Linked DNA regions of Mus musculus: region 1 is reported to be linked to region 2. Evidence: microRNA targets listed by miRTarBase, many of them from high-throughput screens and not tested one by one. Region 2 holds a microRNA gene; the other region holds the end of a gene's coding sequence.

Region 1 (7,601 bases), not on the chromosome of region 2:
GAGTCACCAGGCCAAAGCCAACATCAGCATGGGAGTTTCACCGGGAGAGCGGGTGTGTTTGCTGAATGAGCACCCATTCATAAAAGGCTGGTGCTTGCCTTTGCTCTACAAGTTCAGCATAATCCAAAGCGGGTTTCTGCTCATTCCAGGTATGGATCAGCCAATGCCTTTGCCAAAGGGAAGTGCCTAGAAATGCCTCACCTGTGTGATTAACCACTGTGTGACCCAGAAGTGACTCAACACTCTCAGCTCCAGGGACAGAGCTAGTCACATAGCCATACCTAACCAGGAGTAGGTTTCTCTCCCAGTCGGAAGGCAGAGAGCTGGGCAATTTCAGAAACAGCAAGTGTGAGCACCTTGGCCTGTGAGAGGCTGCCTCTCATTTTGTCTGCTCGATGGTGGCGACAGGCACTCAGTAGCATTTATGTTCTTGAGATGAGTCTTGAGGCAAAGGCTGGGGCTTGGGGGGGCATGTATCAATTTGAAGATTGCACAGCTCAAATGTAACGGGGGGTTGTTTTGTTGTTGGTGGTGGTTTTTTATTTTTGTTTGTTTGTTTTTTGAGGCATGGGTTCTCTGTGTAGCTATGGCTGTCCTGGAACTCACTCTGTAGACGAGAGATCCACCCGCCTCTGCCTCCTGAGTACACTACCATCGCTTGGCTCAGAGTTTAAGATTGTAGCAGAATGTGGTAGAGTACACCTGCAAACCCAGTGCTTGGGAGGCTGAGGCCGGAGGAGGATGAATCCCAGACTACATACCGAAAGCTTCCGTCAATTTTGTGTCAGTAGTGGGGATAGACCTAGAGCCTTGAATATGCTAGGCAGGTGCTCTACCACTGGGCCACGCCCCCAGCCCCTCACTGGGGGATTCTAGGCAGGGGCTCTACCACAGAGCCACGCCCCCAGCCCCTCACTGGGGAATTCTAGGCAGGGGCTCTACCACTGAGCCACGCCCCCATCCCCTCACTGGGGGATTCTAGGCAGGAGCTCTACCACTGAGCCACACCCCCAGCCCCTCACTGGGAGGTTCTAAGGGAATACATTCCCAACCCTTAGCTTTGTAGGCTTTTCAGTGTGGCAGTGACAGCAGGGAGCCCAAGGATAGCAGAGAGGAAGTTCAATTCATGCGCACTCTTGAAGCCTCTGATTGCATCACATTTGCTGTCGTCCCTGTGGCTAAAATCCAGAGCCAGACTGAGAGAGGGCATCCATGTGCTTGTCTACGGAGAGGCTGGACTGGGGGACAGTGGGTCACGCTGGCTCAAGAGTTCAGCTGCTTGGCCATCACAAACTTAAAAGCATTTGAAAATCACCACCTTGCCCGGCAGGGAAGATGCTCAGCAGGTGAAAACTGCATCTTTCACAGCACACACCCACACAATTAAAATTAATAAATTAAATAGAAGACACACATAATAGCATTCCTACCCTTTTATTCTTTTTTCCAAAACACACCACAGGATTACCAGACAGATTTGTCCCCCACATTCCAACAGACAGCTCCTTCATGAGCCAGAAGTGTGAGACTCTCTCCATGTTGAGGAGGGCACCTCATCCATTCACCAACGTTTGAAACCTGCTCGTCTTTCAAGGGCAATGCCAAGATTGTGTAGCTGCAATTCCAGCATGGAGGACTGACATTTCCCAGAGTTCCTGCGCCCAGGCTCTTTCAGACCCGAGGTGCCTCATGGGAGCACCCTGCTGGCAGCAGGTGGCCTGTGACGAGGGAGACTGAACCTTTCCTATTTGGAGGCTTCCAGGGGCCTGGCTATCTGCTTTGCTTACATTCTGGAAAAGCCTGAAAATCCTAACAAAAGATTGTATGGGCAACATATGTAGTCATTTACACCTGTAATCCCAGCTCTTTAGACGCCCAGAGCTGTAGAGTAAGGCCCTATCTCAGGGGTGGGGGTGGGAGATCATAGTTTAAAAGGCAGCCACCTCTACCTGTAACCCAGGACAAGGAGAGGCTAGGACCGGAGAAGCACCTGGCGCCAAGTGTTTGAGACAGCCTGGATCCTCTATCTCAAGTAACAGAACAAAAATGGGCAAGGAATCACAAAACACAAAAGTGCCCTGTACAAGTTTATGGAGCTGACCAGGACACACACAATGGCTACAATATGCTCCTTCGATGCATCTAGCATGGGCCTCCTGCCTCAAGAAGGGAGAGCAGCAAAGCACAGGACGGGGATGCCAGGTGGCACCAAAGCAAGCCACAGTGAGAGCAGGGCATCATGCCACGTGCCTGACCCTGGCACTGGAGAGATGCAGGCAGGAGGATCAGGATTTCAAGGCCATCACCAGCTACATGCCGAGGTGAAGGCAAGCCTAAGCTATGTCAAAATACCAGAAAAGACATGGAGGGTTTAGAGAGCTCAGGACACTTAATAGGAGACCGAGTTTGGCTGTTACTGTAGCCAGACCAAGGGAAGTGGGGCCCAGGCAGTAGAGGAGTAGCATTTGAGTGTCAAGCTTCTCAGAGGGGGCTGCAGTACCTGGGAGCTGGGTATGTGTGTGAGCACATTCACATGCCAGTGTGTGCATGCTTAGCCACACATGTGCACATGTAACAGAGCAAGTTCTTAGATGCCTGCTGTGATGGTTAATATTAACTGACAGAATTTACGTTCACCCTGGACATGGCTGTGGAGGAGTGCCTAGACTATGTTAAATGAGGCGAGGAAACCTACTGTTTGAAACACTATTCCATAGCGCTGTGGTCCTGGGGTGAAACAAAGATTTCTCAGCTTCCCAAATGTGGTTGCAATGTCTCACTTTCATGCTGTTATGATTTTTCACAATAGACTGTATTGTTGAACTATGATCCAAGTATGTGGATAAAGCCACCGAGGGGGGGGGGAAATCCATCTCAGATTCTATTTGTACTTGACCCACTGGAACATCACAGGTTCAGGGAAAACTACTAAGCCAGGAGGTGAGGCAGGCCTGTGATCCCAGTTACTTGGGAGGCTGAGGGGTTAGGATCCCAAATTCCAAGGCCTGTCTGGAATAAAGTGAGTTCAAGGACAGCCCAAGCAACTTAGTGAGACCTTGTCTTGAAATATGATGTAGCTCAGTGGTGGAGCCCCTGCCTAGAATCCCCCAGTGAGGGGCTGGGGGCGTGGCTCAGTGGTAGAGCCCCTGCCTAGAATCCCCCAGTGAGGGGCTGGGGGCGTGGCTCAGTGGTAGAGCCCCTGCCCAGAACCCTACCTGCAGCCCAGCACAGGGCTAGGTACATGGTTCCAGCAGAGTGTTTGCCTTTAATATGTGAGGCACTGATCAAAACCCCATGATTGGGGGGAACTTATCGATATAATTGAAACACGGGTATGTGAATTGGGCCCTCCATTGATCAGTTCAAGTATTTCCAATTAGGTGTATTGTGTGATGAGGTGTGCTTGGGTGTAGGAACACATTGGTTCTGATGATTTAGTGAAAAGAGTGTCAGGCTGATCTAGGATGGTTTAGAGTCATAATCCCGGCACTGGGGAGGCTGAGGCAGGGCCAAAGCTGGCCAACCCAAGCATCAAGGACTTAGTATCAGGCTGGCTCCAGACCGTGTGGAGTTCAAGGCCCGTCTAGACTCTAGTGGGAACAGGCGCATAGCTTACAGGCCTGCAATCCTCTCTCACCGAAGACTGCCTTAAATTTCAAATTCTCCTGTGTCAACCGGAGGTGCGGGGATTACAGGCATGAACGCCCGAATAAGGTGCCTCCTCGTAGGGCGGATGGTGTCAGAGGTGAGAGTTCAGGGTTAGATGGGAGCAAAGCCCAGCTGTGCAGGCTTCTGATTAGCCCTCAGAAGCTCTTATGGGTCTAGCCCAGTCCTTTCATCGACCAGGTGAAAATACATGGCCCTCGTTCATGTAGTGACAGCGGCCAAGCTGCTGCTACCGTTCGCTCTCCCACCAGGTGCTTGCTTCTCTCCCTCTTTGTAACAAGATTATGACAACCTGAATTCCAGGCCATGTGCCAGTGACCAGTAAACTAAGAAAATAAATACTAGGCACCTACTGTGTGTCAGGCACTGCTCTGGGTGCTAGGGTACACCCAAGAGAAAGACAAGCAAGGAGCAAGAGCCAACGAACAGGCAAGTGAGAGAATGAGAATACAGCCATTGGTAGTAATGTTCACTACAGGGACTACCATGTGGCAGGATCAATGCAAGCTACTTTGGGTGACCATAGAGCCATTTCGGGGAGACCTGACAGATGAGGACCCTATCTCAAAAAAAGACAGGGAGGCAGAGTGTCCCACAGAAAACCAGAAAATGCATAAGTCCTGAGGTGGGACCTTGGCATCAGGCTTGCTGGAGATGGGCTGAAAATGGAGAAGAGGCAGGGCCAGGCCACACACTGTCCCGCTGTGTTGATGAGCCTTTGGCCTGCATCTCTGAACCCCGTGGTCCTACCTGCACAAAGCTACAAAACTGACAGCGATGTGGTTTCTGCCTATGCCTCCCTCCAGGCACTTTCCCACGGCATCAAAGGCCTACCTAGCTATCCTGAGGGGGACCCCCTACACACACACACACACACACACACACACACACACACACACACACAGCAGCAGCATCCTATGTGGACCAGCAGCAGGTGTCTTGGGAGAAATCAGAAGAGGTCATGCAGAAAAACCACATAGACTGCTACAGCAGGAGCCCATCACTTTGAGGCCCTGCAGTTAAGGTCCATATGACAGAAGAAACCAGTAATAAAGAGAAACAGGAGCGTGCATGCCAGAGACCCTGAATCACCCAGCACCTATAAAATGGGGGTAGTCACACCTTCCCAGTAAAGCTCGGAGAGGCAGCTGCCAGGATCCCACGGGAAGTATTTCCAAGTGTGGGTTTCTAATCTTCCATACCCTAAAGACCCCATTCCTAGGCTCTAGCTGTCAGAAGACAACCTTACCCACACACTCCCTTGTCCCTTCCCTTCAATGTTGTGGATCATTATCGTCCACACCAAAGCTTTGGAGAGCAAATGACTGACAATCTTCTGCACTCCAAGAGACTAAAGGGTCTCCAGCAGGCCCCTGGTCTCCACAGGGCTTCCTGCCACCTAAGAAATGGCAACCACAGCCTTCTTAGGAACCAGACTTTTCCTAAGGCTCTCACAGCTCCCACAAAAATCTGTTCTTTCATCAGGTAACTTATACTTCTTTCCTTTTGGGAGCCAGCACTCCAAGGCTTCTATCTCCCCGCAGTTTCGCTCACAGGCAGGCAGGGATCAAGGCTTCTAGAGATCCATGACCAGGTGTCAGCGGGACGCCAAGAAGCTCCCATTTCTACTGAGTCCCAGGCCCTCAACTCCCTTTACTGCATTGGTATCTGGATGACACACTTCTGGCGCATAGACCCTACTCCCATTCAGTACCTAGGAAATCGGGTGACTGTAAATCTCACGTTTCAACGAGATGTCAGTCTCCTTCAAGTCTCCGGGTTTGAATAACAAAACGTCACTTCTTAATCTCAGAGGCTGTGGGGCCAAAACCAGTCACCAGACACCCCAAGCCCCACCGCACACCTCATTGGTTGGGCTCTGGGGGTCCCAGCACCGCCTCCGCATCAGCCAGCATCTCATCTAAGGCTTGTAGAAGTACACCGTGCGCAGCACGGTAACCCAGCCCACCTGTTGCCGCAGCACCACCCGTGGGCCATAGGAAGGAGAGCGCGCTCAACGCTGCACCTCCCGCCGTGCCCTCACCTGCCCAGGACCCCAGCCTGGCCTCTACCTCGGCTCGCGTCACCGGGCCCGGGAAGCGCGTGCGCGTTGCCAGTACTCCGGGAGCCAGGCCCAAGGCGCGCTCACGTCGTGCTACGGCCGCGGGTTCGAGGCCTAGCGCGCGCCTCCACTCGGCCAGCTGTCCCCGGAGAAGCGCCACATCGCAAGCCCAGCCCAGCCCTGGTACTGGGGCGGCGGCCGCCGCCAGGCTAGCCAACAGGGCTGGCCTCCACGCCCCTGCCCGTAGCGCAGCCGCCTTCCTCCGCGCCGCCCGGGGACTTGCAGGTGGCAGCGCCAGCAGCAGAGCTCCGGCCTGAGCTGTGGGCAGTGCGTGCTGGAGCCAGGTTCCGAGGCCTGGGAGACCGCCGGGCCGCATCGGGAACACGGGCGGAGGCGCCTCCTCCAGCACCTCCCATAGCTCATCCTCCGGGCTCCGAGCGGCAGTGCACCCCGAGTCCCCGATGCCAGCTTTCTTTCCTTCGCTGCGTGCATCCCCTGAGTTCCCATCACTTGCATTCTGGGCCTTTTCTTCTTCCAGAACCTCGGGTGGATCTTCGCCCTGGCCGTCCGTGCGCACACCGACGAGTGGAGCATCTGGGGACACCAATGAGCGGACCTGGGCCCAGTTCTCCTCTGTGGGAGCCCCGGGGGTGACAAGGATCAGGGCATCGTAGTGGGTTGGGTGAGGGGTGACGGCAGGAGATGTGGCCGTGGGGCCCAGGGGAACGGTCCAGAGCACTACGTTGGGGCGCTCTGGAGCAGGATAAGGGGTGGGCCCAGTGGGTGCTGAGGCAGGCGCAGCACCTGGGTCTCCAGGATCCAACCCCAGCAGCATATCTAGCACAAGGCCTACATTGGTGGTGCCGGCCACCGCCAAGTCCAGTCGTGCGCTGCCCAGGCGCTCCAGACCAGCGCGCACCCACGACAGCGCCGCCTCCAGGCCACCGGTCTCGAAGGCCTCACGAACAGCTTCCAGCTCGGCTGCGCCCAACACCTCGAAGCCATCCTGGGCAGGAGGCAGGAGCCTGCAGGAGAGAGGGTGGGAGATCGGTCAAAGGCAACAGAGCTTTAAAAGTAGGAAAAGCTGGGCTGAACGAGCAATTACGGGAAAAAAAAAAATCTTTCTGAATCTCAAGAATTTAAGTAGGGAACTAATGCACATAGAAAGAAGGCACGGCCGGGCGTGGTGGCGCACGCCTTTAATCTCTGCAATCTCTGCACAAGTGGCAGAGGCAGGCAGATCTCTGAGTTCAAGGCCAGCCTGATCTACATAGCCAATTCCAGGACAGCTGGAAATACAGAGAAACACCCGTCTCAAAAAAAAAAAAAAAAAAAAAGAAAGAAAGAAAAAAAAAGAAAAAGGAAAAAAAGAAAGAAAGATAGAAAGAAAAAAAAAAAAACCAGGTGAGGCGGGACCATAAAGTTAAGAGAGTTCAGGGAAGAGCTTAAGTCCCCTAGAGGTCCCGCGGGTAAACTAACCTAAGGTCAGGTTTCCAACCGAAACTACGATGAGGACCCTATTTGGACTTCTCTTGATACAGATCAAGAGATCGGGGTCAGAGCTTTTCCAATGGTGTGCTGGTCAGGACACGTTTTCTATGGAGTGGGGCTTAGAGGAAGGCGAGGACATAATGGCAATTTCAGTATGGCCTATGGTGTCCCTGAGGGTGGATGTAAATAAGAGAGACCTCATCTAGTACTGGTGGGCCAGCGAGGTTAACTAAACAAATGAGAAGCAGCTCTCCAACTTATGCAGACCCTTCCTGAGTCGCATTTTGAGAACCATAAAATGAGACAGCTGGCAGGTGGGGAGGGGCTGGGTGGATTGGCGGGCAGTAGGCAGGGTAGAACTGAGAGGGAACTGGAAATGGAA
Region 2 (7,601 bases):
TCCTCCTCAATGGATTGACAGGTATGGTGCTTTAGAATAATCAGTAAAATAATGGGCATTGCAGAGTCCTTCTTGGGTGTTTGTTTAATTGGACAGTTGCCCATGTTACTGGACATCAAAAGCAACACAGAATTATTTGGTCTCCCAGCACTGGAGTGTATCCAAATGTTTTCCTGTTTAGGATTCAACTTTTCTCCTTGTCTGCGTGCATGCATAAATGCTTTACACAATTACATTTGCTGACTTTTTCTGTGGCCCTGGTTATTGGCATCTAGTTTTTCCAAGTAACATTGACACACATCTGTTCAAATCAATTGACGCTTCTATCAGGACTGACTCATTTGGTGGAAAAAACAAGTTTACATGCCAACTGGAACAAAGGAGCCTAGATTTGGGGGAATAGCAGGAAAAATGAAAACGGTGGGGCCGGATTATTTGACTTACAGATCATAAAACACTTTCCAATAACATTTTAAAAAGGTATACAATATTACACTAGTGACTGGTTATATACTGTACCCCCCTAGTTGGGTGGTTTTCAATATCTAGTGTGGTAAAACGCATATAAATTACAGTTTTTGAAAGATGATTGTACTTTCTTGGAACAGGAGTCTTCTGTGTCCACATCCCCAAGATTGTTGATGTAGTGTTCCCTTGTTGGAAAACCAAACCAAACCAAACCAATATGGCTAGCAGAAGATGCCTTCAGAAGTATTCCTGTTATTAAAATTGTTACAAAATTATGTTCAATTCTAGTGTATCACAATAACCTGAATATCTTGTCCTACAACTTACAGAAATGTCAGAGTTTAGATTTAGAGCCAGGCTAAGCTTTTCATAGTTTTAAGAGCCATGTCTGTCTAGTAACCTTTTACAATGCCACGTGCACACAGCTTCCTCACTAACAAATAACATGTGTTGGGGGAAAAAAAACGGAGAAAACAATGGAGAGGTGCCTCTTTGAATGTGGTAATGGAGGATCAATTAATCAGCCGACCATAAATTGAATCACTTTATACAAGTCTCCCACACATTATCATGCACATTTAGCAATGTTTGAAAAACAATTTAAAAGAATACCTTAGGGAGTTGTTAAAGGGAATTTATAATCTGGAACGAATTGCCATCTTCTTAATTGACATAGAAGTGTTTGGCTAAAATATTGCTTTATTCACATTTTGCCCTTGGAAGAAAATCGAAGCACATCATAACTTCGACTAGGCAAATAAAGGTGCGAAGAGCATTTCAAATCAAAAAAGGGCACCACGCAGCCAGGTGCTATGTGGATGAGCTCAATTTTGGCGCCCTTGGGCACCTTGGGCTAATGGCATCTTAGATTCTTAGTCAGTGGCCTTAAACCTGGATCATTTGCTCCTCTGCTCTAAAGTCCCCAACCCACCTGAATCTCACTTGAATCTTGCAGGCACCCACTGGAAGCAGCCAGATGGCGCAGGCCAGATTCTTCTGGGTGAGTGGGGGCCTTCAGTGAGCCCCGGCGCTCTTCCTCTGGCATAAGGCAAAGCCCTGTTGAACAGTGGAGATGGAGAAGGGAAGTTGGTGAGGGAGAATAGGAAGTCTCAAAGTGCCCCTCCTCCAACCCTGCGCATAGGAACGCGGGGCGCCTGAACCTGTTAGCCATTTGTCTTGGGGATTCCGGGCCAGAGGGGCCCTGCCAAGGGGAGGGGTGAGGCAGGAGCTGGGGGGCGTGGCTTCAAGAAGCCAAGGAGATGGGGGCAAGGCGTGGCTTAAGTTCCAAGGGGTTTCAGTGCTCCTGGGAGCCAGGGGGTCCTTGGGGGCCCAACGGGACCCAAACCACCTCCCACACCTTGTTCAAACGCAAAGGAGTCTGGGAGAAAGGCATTTGGTGGCTAGAGCTAGACTCCCAGGCTCACAAGGCCTCCTCTAACTGTACCTTTTATGGGGGCCTGCACCCAGTCCCTGGGGAAGATGACAAGCAGTTCATACAGACCAGAAGGGTGTGTGTACATGTATTTTATTTCTTTTTAATAAGACAAAGCAGCACGATTTCACCCACACTCCGTTTTCCAACAGTCCTTTACATGCCTATACTCCAGATTATGGAAAGTGATTTTCACAGGAAAAGTACAGTCTTGCTCCAGAAGTTTAACACTCTTCTCCAGTTCCCAGGCGCCTCTTGACCTGTTTTTTTTTTTCACTCCAGGCTCAAAGGGCTCCTCAGGGAAACGGAGGTGCCATGATTAATCACAGCAGAGTTTGGGATGTCACAAAGCAGCCATTTTCTCAGAGACTTCTAGGCAGTGACAAGGGTGTCCCCATGTCCCCACTGCCATGTAGAATTGTGTGATGACTTTGGGAAAGGGGGATAAATGGGGACTAGAAATGCAGAGCCTCACTGAGGCTTCCTGTTGGGCCATTGCCTCTCATTGTACCACCTGGGGGTCCGCACCAGCAAGACACGAAGAGATCCAGGGACACTCCCACGGACCCCTTAATCTTTCCTAAACTGCAAAGAGAAATGGGGACTTTCTCAAGTCATCCTTCCTGCCCTTCAGAACCCTTCTTATTCCTTTTGGAAGGACCCCTTCTCCATTTTGTTGTTGAGGACTTAGGACAAATTTTCTTGTTTCGCTCTTGTGGGTGGTATACTACTTGATGACCAGGAAGTGCTTTTTTTTTTTCCCAGTTGATTCACTTTTACCTGAGCAGCAAGTGAGGCGCTAACAACACACTTTCAGTCACACCCAGTCAGAGTCACAGATCAGCAACTCTAGTTGGGAGCTGTTCTAGAGTCTCCCTCCCATGGGGCCTATGCTGCAGGCTAACCGAAACTTACCTGGTGGGTGTGCCCATGTGGAAGACCCAGACTTACCCAGGCAGTGGAAACAATACTCCAGGGCACCAAACACTCACTGCAGTACTGTTCCCGCTGCTAGGGCACGACTGAGTGGGATGGGCTGAGTACAGGATGCCTTGTCCCTTCTTCAAGTGAATTGCCACCTTGCTATTCACACCCACCCAGGCCCTTGGACTGTGTAGAGTGACCCTCACTAGACTAAGCCCCTGCCCTCCCACCTACCTGCTTTAGGGCTTTTAGTAGAACCCACACAGGTCTGTTCAGCAGGTCCCCACCTTCTACATTCCCCACGAAGGGGTGTTGCAGCGCTTCATGTTTTGAACCTTGGCAATACTCCAAAACATGAATTGCTGCTGCAGCCCTTCGGAGTCAACGAGGGTGGGGGCCGCTCTGGGGTACCTGCGAAGGAAGAAAGTCTCTGTGATTTCCAGGATCTGCTGGTGAGGCAAAGGGTGTACTGTTGGAAAGCAGGGTGTGGTGGATAGTGGGGAGGAGGAGACTCTTACCTCAGAAAGTAGATGAAAAGTGGGATTAAATAAACTGAGACAATTTGGTAACATCTGGATCACTCTTGCCAGCTCCAAAGTCTTGGTGAAACTTCCTGCTACCTTGTATAAGTCTCATTTATTGTCCCCGGGTTTTGATCATTTATTGGAAATTGGTGCAAGGAACTTTTGATAATCAAAAAAAAATCCCTCTGGGTAGTCCCAGTTGGTTTTACTGAATACTATAGGCATGGAATAGACTTGTCTAGTAGTTTCCTCCGTTCTTACAGTAATCACCTCGTCATTAGTTATTTTTAAGGACAAAGCATGAGAATGTTCTAGATGAAACATACATTCCTGGATGTTCTCATACATTGCTGGCTACTCAAGCTTATTTATAAAGACATTTGTTACCATCGACATCAAATCACAAATCAAGAACTTTAAATAAATGACATCCTTAAATACTTGATGTTAAATACAAATCACTCCTTCTTAAGCCACGCCACTGAAAATCTTGTCTTGAAATGGCCGGCACTGTGCGCTCTCCTCAGCTCCCACTGTTGCTTTTCAAAATGGACACACATGAGCAACAAGTTACATTCATTTCCTTGTTTAAACAAAGCATTCAGGAAAGCACAAAAACCATCCTTTAGTCCTTAACCACAAACCTAATAACTAAAACAACAAAACTACAGTGCCTTTGAAAGCAAAAAACATTCTGTATACAAATTTCCTGTATTCTCATTTAAAATTATGTCCGTTTTTCGAAACTAGTACAATGAATGCTGGGTCCTTTTAATTAATTAATAAAATATACAGAGTATGTAATTAAACTAAATACAAAATTCCTAACATAACAGATAATGATCCAGTGCTAACATATGCATTGCTTAGGTCATGATAAATAAAGCCATTAATAATAACAGCCCCACTCCTTAAGTTGGAATGAAAATTCCGTCTTTTCTTGGCTATATTACAAGTCATTTTTACATGGACACGGAATTGTGGAGGAAAAAACCATCGATGGTCACCTTTAAAAAGAGGAGAGAGAAAAGCCGTGTTTAGTAAAGATACAATTATACTTTAAAGATACGTATTTTTCTCCCAATTTAACTTTATGTCCCACACAAATGTCACATCAGAGATTGCAATTCCTCTTAATTTAACATTTCCTTAGTTGACTACTCATAAAAACAAAATTCATTCGAGATAACATCATCAAAAACGAAGGTCTTACTAGATAATTTTGTTAACGAATACACTGGAATCAAATTCATCTCTAGATTATCCTTCATCCATTTCTTTTCTTCCCATCACTCTACAACGACTTATATCCTTAAAAAGCCATCTCACTCCCTGGGTTTGTGTATTTCCCCTTGGGCTTAACTTTACTTACGAAAAGAGAGCACAAAGAGATGTCTGGTCACTTCTAGAGAGGGTCATTCGCTGATACAATAGACAAAGAATCAATACTTTAGGGTTACCATGGCCCCACCCACTTCAGAACCACGACGGGTCAAAATGGCCCCACCCACTTCAGAACTGCGAAGGGTTTGGCCAAATGATTTAAGAGCCAAAGACTAAGCCTCTTCCTCTCTTCCCAGTTGAGAACGTTTTGTCTTTTAATGTTGCAGATGCCATGCGCCCCCACACCCAAAACATGATGCACAGGTCCTCCGCACCTTCCAGCCAAACTTTTCCAATACTGGAAAAAAAAAAAAAACAACTAAACAACCTTGAAAAGTTTTAATTAGCGAGAGACAATGGAAAACGAATTTTACGGTTCTTTCCAGGACATTCTTTACTGCTTACAAATGAGTGGCCCAAAGTCCCATTTACAGTCTGTCAAAACTAGTTGCTCCCCACCCTGGCAAGGCTGACAGCCTGAGGCTGCCCGCCCCTCACTCATTTCTCTCTCCCCACCCCTCCCCGTTTACTCTTCTCAGTCCACTTTCTGAGAAGTTCCCTGGCCACACTCACTTGCTAGACATTTTAAAGATCTGTCCTCCCCCCACCACGACCCCCGGACACGCTTTCCACCCCCACACCCCACCCAGCGCGACGCATAACATTTTTTTGAGAATTATCCCCGTATCTGTTACAGTCTGTAGTGACCAGAGACATAGTTGGGGGCGGGGGGAGGCGGGCCAAAAAGTTCCCTTCCCCCTCGTTTTTTTCTTTTTTAGATTCTAAGTCACCTCTCACTCCACTCGAAAATGGCGCCGAAATCGTAGAACTTCTTAAATTTCATTGTAAGCTTTTTGCAAAGGTTTCTGGGATTTTCCTGCGAAGCTGCTCCTCAGCGTCGACCTAGAAAACAAGCCGGGGAAGCTAGAGAGAGGAAGGAAAAGGCGGGCGGGGAGGCGGACAGACAGACGGACAGCGAGAGAGAAAGGGCGGAGGGGTGTGGCGAGGTTGTGAGGTTAGAAGAGCGAGTCGCGGAGACTTGGGAGGGCGCGAGGTGGCGGTGGTGCGGGACATCGAGGGACAGAGGGACGGACAGCCGGGGAACCGGGGTTCGCGGGGCGAGGGGCTCACAGAGAGGCGTGGCGGAGAAGAACCGGAGCCGGGACGGAGCTGGGCTGGAACCGGGCTGGAATCGGGCTGGAACCGGGCTGGAATCGGGCTGGAATCCGGCTGGAATCGGGTTGGAGCGGTGCTGGAGCCGGCGGAGCTGGCGGAGTTGGGCTGGAGCCGAGCGCACCCCAAGAGGCGAGCGGGAGCAGCCAGCGCCCAGTGGTCCGCAGCAGCCCTAGAAAAAGCCGGCCCGGGGGGCGTGGCCATGCGCTGCTCCGCGCCCCGCCCAACCATTCGCCCGCTCGCTCGGAGGCCCCGGAGCGGAAGGGGGGAGGGGGGAGGCCGTGCGGACACGCAGAGCCACAGCCTTGGCCTGCAGCCAGGAAGGGCCGGGAAGGACACGGGGAGCCTGGAGTGGCCACGTACAGAGAGCCTCATAGCCGCGGGTGCAGGAGACAAAAACCAGGGAGAAAGGGGAAAGGGGAAAAGCGGGAAGGGAAGCAACCAAGCTCCAGCTCAAAGACCCATGCCACAAATGACACTCTAAAGTCACTAGGGCCCAAGTCTTTGGGGCTACCAGGAGGGTACAGGGCGGCTAAGCCAAGCCTCTTAGGACTATTTTTCTTGGGGGTGCCTGAAACAGGATGAGGAAACAAGGGACCCTCAGATTGCAGAAGGGAAGTGCTAGGCGCGCGAGTGTGCCCAGGCTCTGTTGAGTCTTCTGTGCTCTGGCCTCTCTGCCAAACTCTCCCTCAGGTAGAGGACTCCCTTAGGTCCTGGCGGTCCACTTTAGGGGTGGGCATGACACTGAGGCAGGGAACGACAGTTTACTTATACATGTCCAGTCCAAGAAGGAAAGTCTTTACTACTTAAGTTTTGAGTCTGGAGTAGGGAAAGAAAGGGAGTCTTTCTTCTGTATGCTGGATATCTTTAGGGACGGCGCTGTTTACCAGGGAGGTATGAGAACGGTGTTGAAGTTAATAGCAGGGTGTCCAGGGTGACAAGAACTGTGCCTAAGTGTAAAGAGATGAAGTATAAGAGTGATTATGATTTTCAAATGATGCCGCTGACCCAGACAGGCACTCAGAGAGAAGGGGGAACGGGAATGGATTTCAAGGAGCTAACATGAGGTTGCATCTGGGTGGGGAGTCAATAGTCTTTCATTGCACCGCGTTCGCAACTTTCTTGTATATTTGCAAAACGTCACAATAACACAAAGCTGGAAAAACCAGGCATGGTAGCACATGGACCAGTAGAGTCCAGCACTCGGAGGAGGCAGGAGAAACAGAAGTTTAAGGGCGTCCTTGGCTACATAGCAAGTTCGAGGACAGTCTGAGCTTTGTGAAAGACTCAAAAAAAAAAAAAAATCTGGGAGAAATCCCTTATAAAATAGAGCCTGGATGTTAAAAAATAAATAAATAAACTCAGCGTCTCTCTTCCCACCTTTCTTGGGTTGCAGACATCTTTGAGAGAGTGGGATGTAAACTCAGATAGGATTTGGACGGGAAGGGTTTCGCTGGCCTGCAGCAGCTTACACACCCGGGCTCCAAAAGAGACCACAGGGGCAGGTGGAGTGCTGGGTACAAGGCGCTATGTGGGAGCTACTTAGCGCGTTCACTCCGTGACTCTGAAGGAGAGGCTGTTGCCTTAGCAGCTCTTGGCTAAACCTCTACTCCAGCCACCTCTTGTCTAGTCTGGGACTTAGTGGGTTCCTTGGCGCCCTTGACTAGCGAGGACATCTGGGCGTCTGCGAATATCCA

Evidence for each region. Region 2 holds the annotated microRNA mmu-miR-322-5p (CAGCAGCAAUUCAUGUUUUGGA, at 3,171-3,192, opposite strand). A microRNA usually pairs through its seed, bases 2 to 8, with sites in the 3' UTR of a target mRNA and lowers its output. Matches are read on the target gene's strand: a 7mer-m8 pairs with bases 2 to 8, a 7mer-A1 pairs with bases 2 to 7 and ends in A, and an 8mer does both.
Region 1: miRTarBase lists Irgq as a target of mmu-miR-322-5p. Seed matches in the 3' UTR shown: 7mer-m8 at 4,593-4,599, 7mer-m8 at 4,573-4,579, 7mer-m8 at 4,570-4,576 and 7mer-m8 at 2,174-2,180.

What each region holds. Positions count from the first base shown.
Region 1 is chr7:24,532,418-24,540,018 of GRCm38, reverse strand. It overlaps Irgq (immunity-related GTPase family, Q), which reads right to left. Exons shown (of 3, transcript NM_153134.3): 3 at 1,419-6,753. The coding sequence ends at 5,532. Among named protein-coding and RNA genes, the nearest start is that of Irgq, 5.6 kb to the right of the region's middle.
Region 2 is chrX:53,051,136-53,058,736 of GRCm38, forward strand. Mir322 (microRNA 322) reads right to left here and starts at 3,214; the gene lies at 3,120-3,214. C430049B03Rik (RIKEN cDNA C430049B03 gene) reads right to left here and starts at 6,055. Exons shown (of 4, transcript NR_038185.1): 1 at 5,863-6,055; 2 at 5,523-5,634; 3 at 5,007-5,029; 4 at 1,977-4,355. Mir351 (microRNA 351) reads right to left here and starts at 2,218; the gene lies at 2,120-2,218. It overlaps Mir503 (microRNA 503), which reads right to left and starts at 2,919; the gene lies at 2,849-2,919.